Caenorhabditis elegans: one gene and its partners. The protein of the gene in region 1 interacts with the protein of each later gene in a pairwise test. Each region holds a gene or a part of one and is shown on either strand. Other genes may lie near its edges.

The links. Proteins that work in one complex are often made in the same cells at the same time.
Region 2: the proteins of B0228.1 (region 1) and dyf-19 interact in a two-hybrid assay, tested with the Caenorhabditis elegans proteins (one large-scale study listed by BioGRID).
Region 3: the proteins of B0228.1 (region 1) and F20C5.6 interact in a two-hybrid assay, tested with the Caenorhabditis elegans proteins (one large-scale study listed by BioGRID).

The regions. Positions count from the first base shown.
Region 1 is NC_003280.10:7,753,527-7,757,407, forward strand, and holds B0228.1 (uncharacterized protein), read left to right. Parts: upstream 1-1,816; 5' UTR 1,817-2,481; coding exon 2,482-2,632; intron 2,633-2,691; coding exon 2,692-2,771; intron 2,772-2,821; coding exon 2,822-2,882; intron 2,883-2,937; coding exon 2,938-3,320; 3' UTR 3,321-3,381; downstream 3,382-3,881. Other genes in the region: B0228.6 (uncharacterized protein), read right to left, coding at 621-1,241, 1,307-1,456, 1,520-1,630; B0228.7 (S-methyl-5'-thioadenosine phosphorylase), read right to left, coding at 3,702-3,782, 3,829-3,881.
Region 2 is NC_003283.11:19,623,190-19,631,101, forward strand, and holds dyf-19 (Fas-binding factor 1 C-terminal domain-containing protein), read left to right. Parts: upstream 1-1,859; 5' UTR 1,860-1,872; coding exon 1,873-1,905; intron 1,906-1,952; coding exon 1,953-2,075; intron 2,076-2,184; coding exon 2,185-2,253; intron 2,254-2,616; coding exon 2,617-2,861; intron 2,862-4,155; coding exon 4,156-4,494; intron 4,495-4,697; exon of another isoform or gene 4,698-4,755; intron 4,756-5,591; coding exon 5,592-5,672; intron 5,673-5,808; coding exon 5,809-5,914; intron 5,915-6,047; coding exon 6,048-6,170; intron 6,171-6,227; coding exon 6,228-6,316; intron 6,317-6,638; exon of another isoform or gene 6,639-6,710; intron 6,711-6,739; coding exon 6,740-6,869; intron 6,870-7,168; coding exon 7,169-7,435; 3' UTR 7,436-7,572; downstream 7,573-7,912.
Region 3 is NC_003282.8:8,771,007-8,775,075, reverse strand, and holds F20C5.6 (ELKS/RAB6-interacting/CAST family member 2), read left to right. Parts: upstream 1-1,869; 5' UTR 1,870-1,887; coding exon 1,888-2,425; intron 2,426-2,550; coding exon 2,551-2,745; intron 2,746-2,808; coding exon 2,809-3,122; 3' UTR 3,123-3,516; downstream 3,517-4,069.

The sequences.
Region 1 (3,881 bases):
TGGTGAGAGACATGATGAAATACAAGTGTAGAAAATTCAAATAAAAACTGAGTCAGTCTCAGTATGATATTTATATGAAATAAGTGAGAAGATGAAGAGAAAAAGACTTTCAGTCGATCGGACAGGTACACGCCCACTTAATTCATGGGTTGATGAACGGGGGAAGAAGCATCGATAAACAGAAAAAGGTGTGTGGGAGGAGGAGGCATGGATGAATAATGAAGGCTGAGAAAAAAAACTGAAGAATGAAGAAAATAATTACAGTGCTCAAAAATGAAAACTAAAAATCAGATAATGTCGTCAGCAAAGTTTCGTCAATGGGAGTTTGGTCTTGAAATATGCTTGTTAAATTAATTTTTTAAAATTTTCTCTTTTAGTTATGAATTTTCCTTAAAATTGTTAGTGGGGTTACACAGTAATGCGCCCTATTCACTTCAACTCAAAATTGGACAGAGATGCATTTTCAAATGTTTGTTGTTGGTTTTTATTGAAAAGAAAAATAGAAAAACTGTACATATTTAAACATGGAAAGCGAAAAAAAAAAAACAGAATTTTACATTAAAAATAAGAATCGGGGACTAATAGAATATCATTAGGCAAAACTCTGTCACAAATGAAAATTAAAATTGACGAATTTTGGATTGAAGCATAGGAGAGATGGTAGGAGAACGATATACTCGGGTACAATCTAAGTTTCCTCTTTTGTCATATACATGCAAATCTCCATGTTTCAGATAATATTCTGTACGTGATAGTTCTTGGCCTTCGTTCTTTACCAATCTAATCAAAGTTCTTCCAGAAATGAAATATTCCATTGAATGATGTTTTCCAATAATCTCCTTTCTTCCTAGATTCAAGAACTGATTATTATAGTTCTTTCCATCCAATGTTGTCTTCAAAGTCATCTCTTCCGACTCAAAATCATGGTCAAAATTTGGAACTCCACGAACAAAAAGTTCTTCTTCGAAAGTATTCTCCCATTCCATTCCACGAATAAATTCTTGAACTCCTTCGAAAAATGAATGATCAGGTATCCATTCTCTACGAAGTGCCAACTCAATTGGTTCAATTTCAGACAGAATATAGAATCTTGCAGAATCAACGAATCGGCGGCTTGGTCTTTTGTCTCGTCCTGTACGTTGAATTTCAGACATGTAATCATGAACTTTCTGTTGGAACTCTTCAGAAGACATTTGGTCGATGTTAGAACCAATTGATTTTGATTGCTGGGAGTTTGGATTCTGTAAATATTTAAAGGGATAATTAAACAAATCTTACAAAATTCTAATATATCCTTGAAACTCACATTTATTCCCCATAAAAATGTGGAGACGTCCGCCATTAAGAGACATGACATGCCTAATGAAAAAAAGGCAACGGCGAAAATTTCTTTTGCAAGAACTATATGGGAATCTTTAGAGTTTCTTCTTTTCTTTACCTTCTCGTTATTCACAACCTGAAAAGTGTACATCTTACTGTCCTATAGAATTTTAATACTTTTAATAAAAAGTCAACTCACCACTGCATCAGTTGTCTCATTTTGCTTGAGCTCCGAAGTTTTTGATCCTCTTTTTTTGATTTGTCCAGTTTCGGAAACAAATTCAAAGGTTGATTCCCAGTCCGAGTCCATGGCTCTAAAATTTACATTTTATTGAAGTGATAAATACTTTAAGAAGAAAACTCAAAGGAAACATTAGATATGGAGCACAATCTTTCAATCGGTTGTGTTCATTAGTATTTCTTGCATTGTCTTCGTATCTTCACTTTTAACACTATTTCTTCAAAAAGGAACACCCAGTATGTGTAATCTCTTGAAGGCAACGTGACCTCTAACTAGAGGGCTCGCAATGCGCGCACGAATATCGATTTCTCTTGAAGAGGTTGTGCAGGAGAAGGAAAAAGAGATGAAGCAGTAGACAGAATGAGGTGTCAATATGCATCACGAGACATTTAACAATAAATTCAACTACAACGTGAGATTATTTATAGTTCTGTACATCCGTTCAAGAATGTAAACTATACAAAGTGGACTAACTAAAGGGACTGTAAAATATGTAATTGCACAAATTTATTAAAGTTGAAACTGAAACAGTATGGGTTTTTAAAAATAACTAGAGGTTTCGGTTTTGATTAGTTGATGACATACAAAACCATGTAAGAATATATTTTACTAAAGCTCTCACTAAAATATGAAACTATTATAAATCAACCTCGTGACAAAGTATAATCTTTTGAACTTCATGTTTTTGATTTTACATACATTTTCTCTACCAGAAACATATGAACACATACAACATACATTCCCCAGGATTTTATTATTTCAAGAACGCACGATTCTTGAAATGTGTGAGAGAGAGAGCAGAAAGGTCCGCCTATTGTCCGATAATCCGATTTGTACAAAGAATCAATTCCAAAGTCGAGGTTACCAAGGTCAATTTTATTGAATAAAAGGAGAATCTAATGCTATGATTTTTCATAAATATGTTTACAATTCTTCTATATTTTCTTGTTCTCTTCTGGGTGACCAATGCGGCTGTTGTCACTCCATCTATTGAGAATCACAAAATGGAAAATGCTTCTGTAACGATATCGAAGGTTCCTATTTCTCATAGACCAAGAGGTTTCACAGCAGGTATAGTTTTGCTGATTTTGTGCAAATTGGAAAATTATCACAAAATTAAGTTTTTGAAGGTAGCGATTCCAAAAAGTTGGCTGTACAGAGGTTCAAACTTCTCATCTCTGATTTCTTGTCAGATGCGCAACTGTCCAAGGTATCTAGAACTATATTAGGAAATTTTTTTATAAGAACAAATATATTTAGAGTATTGATGTAGCTGCTGTTGGAATGCACAAAGGAAAGTCAATGGATGATATTTTAGATGGTAATTGTTTGCTAGTTCCATTAAGTTCTGGTTGACTTTGAATATATATTTTCAGATGTTTACACTCGTCTCCGCAGAACATTATCCACAAAACAAATAAGTGAGTTAGCAAAAGCTCAAAAAGGACTAGTCGAAGATCTTGATGAAAAATCAGCAAAGTTAGTGAAGGCAAGAGTTAAACGAATGATTGTCTACTCATTTGATCCGGCTGCTGAACAAATTCATAAATATGCAACACGTCCTTCAATGGCTTTTGCTCTAATTGCTGAAACAATCAATGAAAGATTTGTTGGATCAGTCAAGGATTTGATTCGTGACGTACTGACTCCAAAGGAATATGATATTTTCCGTAAACACTATCACCCGCATATCTTCAAATTGGACAATATTGGCAATAATACAGAAGCAGTCCGAACTACAACTCACGAAACATTTTGAAAGTTTACCTCTTGATTTCTTTTGAATGTTTTGTCTCACACAATAAAGAAAATTCTACCGTAGTAAAAGAAAGATTTTGCTTCAGTTTAAAACAAAAACCATAGGTTCCACCGAGATTTGAACTCGGGTCGCAGGATTCAAAGTCCTGAGTGCTAACCGCTACACCATGGAACCGATGGTTGCATCGTGTCCGAGGGCATAAACGTTTGCGGTGCACTTTTGAATGAAACAACTGTTGATACAGCGAGCGTTTCCGTCTGTTCGGGAATCTAATCGTTCTTTGAATGATCAGAATTTCATACACTTCTTGATAAGATTCGAGAAACTTCGAAACGTTAACTTTGCAATAATATCTTTATTTTAATGATTGTAAAATAAATTTTAAAACTTTTTCTGATTGTCAGTGGTGAGGAATGGAATGACGACGTCCGGTGAAATCATGACAGATTCGCGAGCTTCGGTCTATAAATTCAATTTATTTTCATTTTTCAATCTTTTAACAGTTTACCTTGAGTTTAAGAATTTCTGCGCTCCAATCAATTTTTCCGATTTCTCCAACAG
Region 2 (7,912 bases), on another chromosome or scaffold:
ATTGGAATTTTTCACGAATGGCGCAGTGGGTAACACGGATGGTTACCACCCAGAAGGTCACAGGTTCGACCCCCCGTTGGGGTCAATTTTTTTTCTTGTTAAATTTGCTAGGATTCATCAATTTAAATGTCATAGAACACAGCTTAACTTTTAAATACAGATTTTCAACTCTAATTTGTTAAATATCAGTCTAAAATCCATAGTTTCCTAACTGAAAAAATAAAAATAACATATAAACCTAAAGTTTTAAGGTCAGAGCAAAAAAAAAGTCAAAATCCCAATTTTGCACGAATGGCGCAGTGGGTAACACAGATGACTACCACCCAGAAGGTCACGGGTTCGACCCCCTGCTAGGGTCAATATTTTTCTTTTTCACTCATACCAAACAATTTTAAAGCATAGTCTATTTGTTGGTTACGGTAGATGCCGATTCGTCCAAATAAAACGGGCAATTTACGATTTTGTTGATGATAAGATCGATGAGAGACGCAGAGACGGCGGCTGGCTACTCGCAAATTAGTAGTGACCGATATGCGGGGGAAAACTGATGATATCAGCTGATAAGGACATCCGGACACACAGAGCAGTTTTGGACTCAATTTGGGCCATGTATGGCATAGAGCCAATAGCGGTGACCAATTTTCCCTAATTTTTTGTGAGTTGTAACTTAAAAATTCAGATTCTCCGTGAAATTTGGATAGTTTTAACACCCATATTGGCTAGGTTTGAGCAACTTAAATATTTGGGCCGAAATAGGCTGAAATGAACCGAATTCAGGCCTAATATAGGCATGTTCCAAGTCATGATAGTTTTTAACTGCGTTGTCTTTAGCTTTAGAGTTTAAAAAAAATTTTGACTCTAGCGGGGGGTCGAACCCGTGGCCTTCTGGGTCATAGCCATCCCTGTTACCGACTGCGCCACTTGGTCGAAATTTTATTTTTTATCTTTTATTGCCAGAAGAATTATTTTAGGGCATTTTTCAAAGTTTCTGGCGTCAAAATATTGAAATTTTGGGTCGAACTATCCAAAAAACCGGTAAAATTCGAAAAACCCTTTGACAGATTCAAGATCTTAGTAAAAACTGCAAAATGTTACTTGCACACTTTCAAAAAATAATTAAATGTGTGAAACGCAATTGAAAAAAAAATGGCTACGCTGGGGGTCGAACCCGTGACCTTCTGGGTGCCAGCCATCTCTGTGACCTACTGCGCCATTTGAGCAAAAATTTTATTTTCCAACTTTTTTGTGTAATAACTCAAAATTCACGGTTAAAAGCGAATTTTATCGCAAAATCTGCCAATTTTTGTTCCGCAAGTCGTTGTTTTTCAAATTTCCACTGAGTTTTCCTTGTTTACCCCCCTTTCCCCTATGCCCCCTAGGTTCCCCGGGTAATCATTTGTTATCAGCGAGGTCTGCTATACATTTCCCTATTATTTCCGTCTCCAGCTTCTTTCTTCCTCTGCAAACTCTCGAAGCTTCTGCCCCAGTCGGTTACTATGGCAACCCCCTTCTTTAAGCTTCACCCCCTTCGTCCCGCTTAGACCCTTTATTCTCGATTTCCCGCATTTTATTATGTTTTTACTGAAATTTTTAGGTTTTAGGTATTAGAAATAGGTTGGTTAAAAAGTTTTGGAAAAGTTTAGTGAGTTTTGGAAATTTTTAGAATTTTTTAGAGCTAATTTTCGATTTTCCTGGAAATTATGTCCGATTTTGCGGTTTTTTGCAAATTTTTTGACCAAAACCTTGAAAAAAATGATTTTTTGTTAGTTAAAATTAGTTTTAGAAACGTTTTTTGAAAAATTTTTTTTTGGCATTTTTTCGAAAAAAAATGTTTTTTTCAAAAACAAAAAAAATTTTCCAGATTTCTCGTGTATGTCAGACGATGAGTGGGGAGATTTATTAGATGTGCGTTTTCAGCATATTTTCAAAAAAAAATTCGATATTTTATTCAGAATTTAGACACCGAACCACCCCAGCCAGCACCACCACCTCCCCCCAATTTGCCGGGAAATTCGAAAAATTCGCGGCCGAAAAGTAGTGGACTAGATTTTTTATTGGACTCTGACTTGGATAAGGTGATTTTGTGACTTCTTTTTGGGAAAAAACTGCGAAAAATCCAAAAAAAAAAGGCTTTTGGCCTATTTTGGCCTGAATTTTGGATGATGCTATAAGACTGATTTTCAGGAACCGCAGGCACCTAAAACTGTAAATTTTGCAACAAACCGGGAAGAAAATACATCTGAAATGAGAGCGGTAAGTTTAAAAAAAAAAATGTTTTTTGAAAATTTTTTTATTTTTTTTCTTGACCCAAATTTTTCTAAAAATCTGTATTTCAACGTTTTTATCTTACCTTAAGCTTTAAAATGACACCCATATCGCCTATACCCCGTTAATTTTCATTTTTGGATCAACTTTTGGGTGCCTACAGTATCCTCGTGGCGGGACCCTAAACATCAAAATTACGGGATTCTAAGCAATATTGGGGTTATTTGAAAGCTGGTAATATCATAAATGGCCTATCGAAGAGTAACATTCCAAAAATAAGACATTTTTCAAAAAAAAAATTTTTTTCAAAATTTCGAAAAAAAATTATTTTTCAAAATTTCCTAAATTCAGGCTGGTCGTTCTACAAATGCTCTCAGCGACCTATTTGGCACAAGCACGGGCTCTGGGCTTGGAGCATCAGGTGCGGCGTCGGCTCCACGGAGACCCGCAGGCGCCTCCACCCTCGACGACCTTTTTGGCACGGCGCCAAGAGCTGCTACAGTAACCCCAGGGGTTACTGTAGCCGCTCCGGCGGCTTCACAGCCAACGGCTACTGCTCCACCACCGGATAATTTTGATGCGGGAAGGATTTTGAGGTAAATTTGAAATTTTCGAAAAAAATTTTTTTTTCAAAAATTCAAAAAAAACTTAATTTTTAATTTTTGTTAATTTTCGTTACTTTATCACTTTCAGCTCACTGAGAGCTTTAAAATGACACCCATATCGGCTATACTACCCTAATTTTTCAAAATTTGGGCATTCTTCGAGTACCTACAGTACCCTTCGTAGCGGGACCCAAAAATCGGAAATTAGAGGACTATGGGCATAATGGATGTTATTTTGAAGCTAAAAAGCTGAAAAATGAGATAAATCAAACAAAAATTATCTGAAATCGATAATTTTGAGAAAATTTCAAAATTTAACGTTTTCGAAAAACACATTTTTTGAATTTTTTTCAAAAATTCGAAAAATTTCAAATTCAAATTTTTGTTCGTTTTTTGATATTTTATCGCCTTCAGCTCTCTGAGAGCTTCAAAATAACACCCATATCGGCTAGTTTCCGTCATTTTTCAAAATTTTAGAATATTTCGGGTGCCTACAGTACCACTCGTGGAGGGACCCAAAATCCAAAAACTAGAGGGTTCTGAGCATTATTGGGGTTATTTTGGAGCTGAAAACGTGAAAAATCGATCAAAAATAAATACTTTAATCATAAATCAATAAATATTGAGAAAATTTTGAAATTAAAAATTTTCGAAAAAAAAAATTTTTTGAAATTTTTTTTTCAAAAATTCAAAAAAAAATTTTAATTTTTAATTTTTTTAAATTTTGGCTATTTTATCACCTTCAGCTCACTGGGAGCTTCAAAATGACACCCATATCGGCTATACTACCCTAATTGTTCAAAATTTGGGCATTATTCGGGTACTACAGTACCCCTCGTGGCGGGACCCAAAATCCAAAAATTAGAGGATTATGGGCATAATTGGTGTTTTTGATGCTGAAAAATAGAGAAATCAATAAAGTCGATAGGAAATCAGCTTTAAAAAAACTTTCTTTGAAATTTTTTTTTCAAAAATTCAAAAAAAGTTATTTTTTAATTTTTGGTAATTTTGTTTTTTTTTCAGTATTTTATCACCTTCAGCTCACTGAGAGCTTCAAAATAACACCCATATCGGCTAGGTTCCGTCGTTTTTTTTTTAAATAAGAGCATAATGGATGTTTTTTTAGGCTAAAAAATGAAAAAATCGATAAAATCGATAGGAAATCAGCTAAAATCGGTAATTTTGAAAAAATTTTGAAATTCAAAATTTTTGGAAAATTTTTTTTTTAATTTTATATCAAAAATCAAATTCTGGAACAAATTTCTCAATTTTTTTCAAATTTCAGACTAGAAGCCGAGCTAGAACGTGTAAACCGTGAGCTTGAAGACACAAAACGCAAGAAACGAGAAGACGAGGAAGATTTGGAGAATTTCTGGAAAACCAAGCTGGAAATCCAGTCAAAAGACTCGGAAAAGGCACTGGAAGACTCAAAAACTGCACAAAGAGCACAAATTTCAAAGCTTCAAGATGAGCATCACGTGGAGCTCGAAAGGCTTAAAGCCAATTACGATAGGCAGCTAGAGAATGTGACGTCATCGACGAGTCAGGTTGGGGATCTAGTGGCAGTGGTGGGGAAAGTGGATACAATTTCTACGAATATTGATAAAATTGCGGCGGATGTGGTGTAAGTTGACTATGTGCCTTTAAAATTGAAAAATATTAAAAAATCGGTTTAAAAAATTTTAAAAATCGAAAAATTCGCCCCAAAACTTCAAAATTTTAAAATTTTGAGCAGATTTTCTGATTCTCCGTGCAAAATTACCCCTAACCCTCAATTTTCAGATTCAGATTTTTTGTGCAACTTTGCGTCAAATCCGGTGTCTTGAGTTACTGTACCTCGGTGTTTGCGTACCTGACACCTGATTTTACGGAATTTTGAGTTAGAGCTCTGAAAAATTAGGGAAAGAGGTAGTTTGGCATGGGTAATCTGGAAAATTATATAAAAATTTCAGGAAGTTTTTGGAAAACGCTGAAATTTTAGTAAAATCCAAAAAAGGTCAAAAATTCACAAACCAAGTGCGCAAACTTGGCCCAAAATTCAAAATGTTTGAATTTTGAGCTCATTTTCTGATTCTCCGTGCAAAACCACTCCTAGGCCTCAATTTTCAGATTTTTAGTGCAACTTTGCGTCAAATTTGGTGTGTTGGTACCTTCAGTAGTACCTTGGTGTTTGCGGACTGGACACCTGATTTTACGGAATTTTTGAAATTTTCGGGATAGGGGTAACTTGGCATGGGGAATCTGAAAATTCACACAAAAATTTATGAAACTTGAAAAAAAATCTTGAAATTTTAGAAAAAACAATTCAAAAATTAAAAAATTCGGGCCAAATCTTGGCCCAAACTTTGAAATTTTGAGCAGATTTTCTGATTATCCGTGCGAAGTTACCCCTAATCCTCCATTTTCAGATTTTTAGTGCAACTTTGCGTGAAATTCGGTGTCTTGGGTTACTGTACCTTGGTGTTTGCGGACCTGACACCTGATTTTACGGAATTTGGAGCTAGAGCTCTGAAAAACTAGGTCTAGGGTAGTTTTGGATGGGGAATCTGAAAATAGACATGAAAATTTCTGAAAATTTACAGAATCCTCTAAAAATCCTGAAAAAGTTGAAAAATCATGATTTACGCAAAACAGTCCTTAAAAATTTGTTTTTTTTCAAATTTTTCCTTCAGAGCTATTGATTCTGGTGCTAAAAACAAATTACAAGTATTGATTTTCCAGAGCAAGCACCAATAAAGTGAGCTCGGAGCAAAGCGCTCTTTTCCACTTGCAAGAGGAACTGCTGAAAATTCGAGAGACAAAGTGAGTCATATCTCAGTAGCCAAGCTTGCTATCAAAAAATTGTCAACTAACAACTTGTAGCTCTTGTTACGGAGCACATTTTGTCAGTTGAAAATTTTTCGATAGCTCTGCGGGTTCTCAAGTTATGAAGCTTCAGGCTCTCCGAGGATGTGGCGGCTCTGAAGCTTGAGCAACTGAAAGTTCATGAGCTTAACCTAAGCTTGAAGGATTTGGTCAAAAATCAACAGGATGAAAATGAACAAGTATGTAATTAGAGTACAATGTTTAAAATGTATTGGAAAGTTTTGAAATTTTTGAAATTTTTTTTTTAATTTTCAAAAAAAATTTTGAAAAATTTTTTTAAAAATTTTTTCTGAAAATTTCCAAAAATTCAAGGAAAAATGGAGGACAAAAGAGGAGTGGAACCGTCTGAAAATTGAACGTCAAATTTTCAAGGAAAATCAAGACCGAGTCATTGAAAATGTGCAGAGAGAGAAGCTGGACCTGGCTAATAAATTGGTATGCTCCCCCCTCAAAATTTTTGGAATTTTTATAAAATACGCTCAAACATTTCAGAAATTCTACCACAAAGATCAAACCGAGCTGCTTTTCCGGCTGAGCAGTGAACGGGAGCTTTTGGAGCAGGAGAAGAGCGAATTCTTTGCGTAAGTTGGGTTATCAACAGAGCTACGGGGAAATCTAAACTAGTAAAGCGCAAAATTTTGAACATTTTCTTAGTTGGAAATTTTTCGCTAGCTATCACCGTTGCAGAGATACACCGCTTCAAAGTCTGCGCGCGAAATAGTGTGGGGGAGGAGAGACGCAGGCGCGCACCCTGCGTCTCTCCCCCCTCCACACTGTCTCGTCGCTGTAACTTTAAAGGCGCATAACTCTTCAGCCGGTAGAGATATCAAAAAATTTTCAACTGCAAAAATAATCAGCGTGAAATTCTGCGTCGGGTGAGCTATTCTATAAAAATTTTTCGACTGCCGGGTGGCTCAGTTGGGTAGAGAGATGGCTATCACGCACAGGTCCCTGGTTCGATTCCTTGTATAATATTGATGAGAATTATACGTTTTTTTTTCTAGAAAACGGGACCAGGACATCAAGAGAATCAAAGCAGAAGCCTACGAGCTGGATCTGAAATCTCAGCAAATTTCTACGGCTGACCAACATGTGACGGAGATGAAGCTGGTGACAGAGGCCAAGTACAGACAGGTTGGTTGTAAATTTATCGATTTTTTGAAAAATTATCGATCTTTTGGAAAAATTATCGATTTTTTGAGAAAGATCGATTTTTCGGAAAAATATCATTTTTTTGGAAAATGTATCGATTTTTAGGAGTTTTATCTATTTTTTGAAAAATTTATCGATTTTTTGGAAAATGTATCGATTTTTAGGAATTTTATCGATTTTTTGAGAAATTTATCGATTTTTTGAGAAATTTATCGATTTTTTGGAAAATGTATCGATTTTTCCCAATTTTCCCACTTTAAAAATCCCCAAAATTCCTTCAGCTTCAACACCTCGAGACCCTGCTCACCGCCGAATGCTCGGAAATCGAAAGAATCCGAAATGAGCAAAAAATCGGTGGAAACGTGGATTCGGGCCGGGACGCACGAAGAATAAGCCGTGAGGAGGAGCTGTTTGGTTCGAATAATTCCAATCAAAATAGTCATCGACATCGATCGGAAAGTGTTCGGGCTTCACTCAAAAAACACTATGAAAATTTGGAAAAATACGCCGGGCAGAAGGTTGCTCATGTTGCGCCGCAGAATAATTGAGTGATTATCGAGTTTTTGGTGGAAATATCGATTTTTTAAAGAATTATTGATTTTTGATTTTTTACGACTACAATTGTGATAAAAAATGTAGAATATTGTAATGTTTTGAAATAATAAATTTATTATCGATTTTTTTTAAATTTCGATGGATTTATCGATTTTTTGGTGAAAATATTGATTTTTTTAAGAATTATCGATTTTCGGCATTTTTATAACTAAAATTGTGAATTAGTACATTTTCAGTCAATTTTTGGCGGGAAATTCAAAAATTCAAATTTTCAATTAATTTTTGGCGGGAAATTCAAATTTTCAGTCAATTTTTGGCGGGAAATTTGAAAATTCAAAGTTTCAATTAATTTTTGGCGGGAAATTCAAATTTTCAGTCAATTTTTGGCGGGAAATTTAAAATTTCAATCAATTTTTGGCGGGAAATTCAAATTTTCAGTCAATTTTTGGCGGGAAATTTGAAAATTCAAA
Region 3 (4,069 bases), on another chromosome or scaffold:
TTCTTGACAGTGATAATCCGTTCAAGATACTAAAGGTTTAAAAATAAGCTCTTTACTCATTAAAATACTATATTTCAGGATTTTCAAAAGTCTGCAAATGCACATGAGCGCTTGAAAACTGAACTCTGGCAGGCAAATGATCAAATTGAGATGATTTTTGAAAATAATAAATTGAAGACTAAAAAACTCGAAGAAAACTACAGAAATGCAAAGGATCAGCTCAAACTTAAGGAAGCGCATCATCTGAAGCTTACTCAGCGAATCGAAGATCTCGAGAAAAAATTGGCAGAAAAAGATGAACGGCTGAATTATCTGGAGCAACTTCCAAATCAAAATGAACTATGTTCAATGCTTCAGAAAGAAATTTTGAAACTTCGTTCATCGCCTGCTAGAGATAGTGAAATTGACATTTTGAAGGAAAGTCTTGAAGCTCAGAAACAATCTGAAACGTGGAAGATCCAGAAGCTTACAACAGAGAATAAGATACTGATGAATGAAAAAGATGAGAGAATTTTGAAGCTTGAAAAGTATATTGAAAGCATGAGAACCAAGAAATTTTAAGATTGAGAAAAGAGCTCGAGAGAAGAGAAAATAGCTTGAGAGAAGCACAGTCTCGAAATGGTAAGAAATTTTTATGAACATGTTTACCGGAAAAATGCAAGAACAGAAAAGTATGTTTTTATATTTTCAGAAAAATCACAAAGTTTATCATCTCAATTCATGAAACAGAGGGATCCTGACATCGAATTAATCTACCACTCAGAAAATAGAGGAAAAGCGAGCAGTAAAGATAATGCAATGGAAACCAACTCCCATAGTTCTAGTGGAACTAAAAAGAGAAGAGTTATTTCTTCAGAAGAGTTGGAAGGTGAGCTTTTTTGTTTTAATAATATCTGATTAACTCTGAAGAAATTGTTTTAGCTTCTTCCTCGTATCCTATCGCAAGCATGAAGAATTGTCTGAAAAATGAAGAAATTCAGAAAATGCAAAAAGCTCTGAAAGAGAAAGATGAGCAAATTTCGAAACTTACCGAGCAACTTCAAGGACTTCTGATTAATCGGGACAAAGAAACAAAAGTGGAGGATTTGCAGCAATTCGAATACGATGGGGATTCTGACGGATAATCTTCAAAGAGTCAAGCATCTAATAGTTGGGATCTGATGAATGACATTTGATTTCCATTTTTCCATGTTCTAACTGATACGTTAAGTTCATTTTATTAGTGATGCAACATGTATGTAAATATTTTTGTTTATTTTGTAAGTAGCAAGCTCTGGTATCTAATTTTCATCTTGTTTCGTTTTTGTTTTTCCTTTTTTTTCTCAATTAATACATAATGAGTTTTTAATTTTTTTTCTCGAATTTTCGTTGATTTGTTGTTTTGAAATTCTATTTTGAAGACCTGGACAAAGTGGGAAAACCGAATTTTCAGGCTTTGTTTAACTTGGGCTCGTGCAGTAGATCATTGAAAAGTGAAGAATCAGATGGATGGGATCATATGAGCGATGCTTAAGCTTTTTTAATTCGTAATTTCAATTTTCTGAATTTTTTCTGTCAAATTCTATTTATTTTAATATTCAAATTAACTATTTTGCATTTTTATTCATTTTCCTTTGTTCTTCAAAATTGTAAATTCTTCGTGTAAGTTGTATATCATATTCTTGAATCTTTTCCTCAATAATTCTAAAATTCCATTTCGACCTATTTCCTCTCAGGGCTTTACTTGATTTTTCAGTGTTTTTTTCAACCTCGTCGTTATAAAATTTTTACATTTTTTTCAAATACTTCTTGTGATTTTTGGAAGGTTTTACACCTTTTCAAATACCTTTTTTATTACCTCAATACATGGAGTCTAAATTGATATTTTAGTAACTTGGACTGGAAAGTATGATGGACAACCTGAAAGCTGAATTGGCACAAGCGAAAATCGACATCGATCAATTGGAAAAGAAACAATGGGAAACTTTGGAACAATTGGTGATGAGAGATAAGCTTATTGAGCAATGCTCTCTACATACGGAGATTCTTCAAAAAGATTTTCGAGAGAGTGAAGCACGAATTATTCAACTTGAGCAGCAACTTTTGGAACCTGGAGAATGTGGTAGTGAGCTTCGGGCAACTATCAAAAATCAGGAGGAGTTACTCAAAAAGCAATCAGAAGAAATTGAGAGGTGTAAGGAAGAGAGCCGCATGTTGATTCAACAGAAGGAAGAAATGGAAAATATTCATTCAGAAGAAATATTTGGAAAAAACAAAACAATTTCGAATCTTCGTAAACAGATCGATGGTGATGTTGAGAGAAAGAAGGCAAAGATTCGTACGTTGAGAAAAGAACTGTGCTCAGCGGATATGAATACAGGAAAGATGTGTAGACGTGCCAAAAGAGCGGAAGATAGAATTGCTAAATTGGAATCCGATCTTGAAGGTAAGCTATTGTTTTACTGAAAGTTGGCCAACATTGGTTAGAAAACAGATGAAGTTGATTGAAAAAACGAGCTGTTCTATTATATATTAAAGTATTAATTAAAAATTACCATCTATAATTTTCAGAAGAACGCCAAAAACATGTGGGACAAGACATCAGTCATATTTTGGATCAACATAACTCGACCGTCATGGCGTTAGAGATGCAACTTGCAAACACTCAGCAGGAAAAAGCCACGCTTAATACATCAGTTGAAGATCTTAAACTTCGAACTGAAGAGTGGAAGCACAACTTATTGGGGCAATTTGAAGTATTGACAGGTAAGCTTGTGAAAGTTTTCTAGGGGTTTTACACACATCTGTAAGCATTTTCTTTTATTTCAGCCAATTCAAAGAGAGAATGTGAATCAAAAGAAGAACAGATTGCAAATCATAAAAGAGAAATCATGGAAAAAGATAGCAAAATTGAGTGTCTGATGGAACTTATTCAAAATAGCGAACGATCCGCTGAAATTCAGAAGATGCATGATGCATTGAGAGAGAAGGATTTGAAGATTTCGGAACTTTCGGAAAAACTGCAAGGTCTTCTTATCAATCAAGAAGGAGAAGCTGATGATACAATGATCGATCAAGATGACGACAATAAATCCACACACAGTGAAGATTCAGATGGATGGGATAAAATAAATGCCATCTAATTTTTTGCACTAAAAATGCGCCCCGATTTTTCATATGCTTTTTAATTTTTTTCCTTTTTTCCTTTTAAATTTTAAATTCAACTTCGTATTGGAAGAAAGTAGCTCTTTAATCGTATTACCTTAAGCCTTCAACAAAAAATTATTTTTAAAAAACAATTGTATTCTTGTAAACTTTGTACCTTTTCTGTACTGCACTGTATTATAAACTTCATATGTTTCCCGTACTTTTGCGTGACTCTGTCATTGTTTATACTAATGTGAAAACATTTTACTTATTACTATTTCACAAATTTTCAAGTATCTTCACTTATTCTCAGGGATATTCTGTTTCTCACCTCATTTAAAAACTATTCTCATAACAATTATGTTCTTTCTCAATAAAGTTAGTATTACTTATTGTGCTCATTTTATATTTAAAAGGTTCTCATTTCCTTTCCGATTATTTTCAGAGCGTTTCATGTGCAGTATTGGTAGGTATTTTCTATCCATACAGTATTGTTGGGAACTCGATGTAAATTTTCGGAGATGTATTTTATTTTACAAAAAATAGTTTTGAAATTGCTCAATTCGGATAAGTGTGGCTGAAGCTTCGAAAACTGACTAATTTGTATGAAAACATCTTAAAAAAGAACAATAACTTCAATTGAGAACATTCGTTGGCTAGTCAGACAAATTCGATTTTCCTAACATCTAAAATTGCCTTGTTATTTTTTTCGTTACTGAAATTATGGCAACACTTACAAAAGATAAAATACTATAATCATATATCTTATCGCATTTTGTTTGCAATCCTTTGCTCCTTAAATGTTAATTTTCCCTAATAGCAAATAACATTGGCCCTCAAGTTACCAAACGAAAGAGTTCGACTTATATTCTCTTTGATCAATGCGACCTGTCTGTCGCTTTACAATGACCTACATTCTTCCCAACTTCTCTGTATAATATGT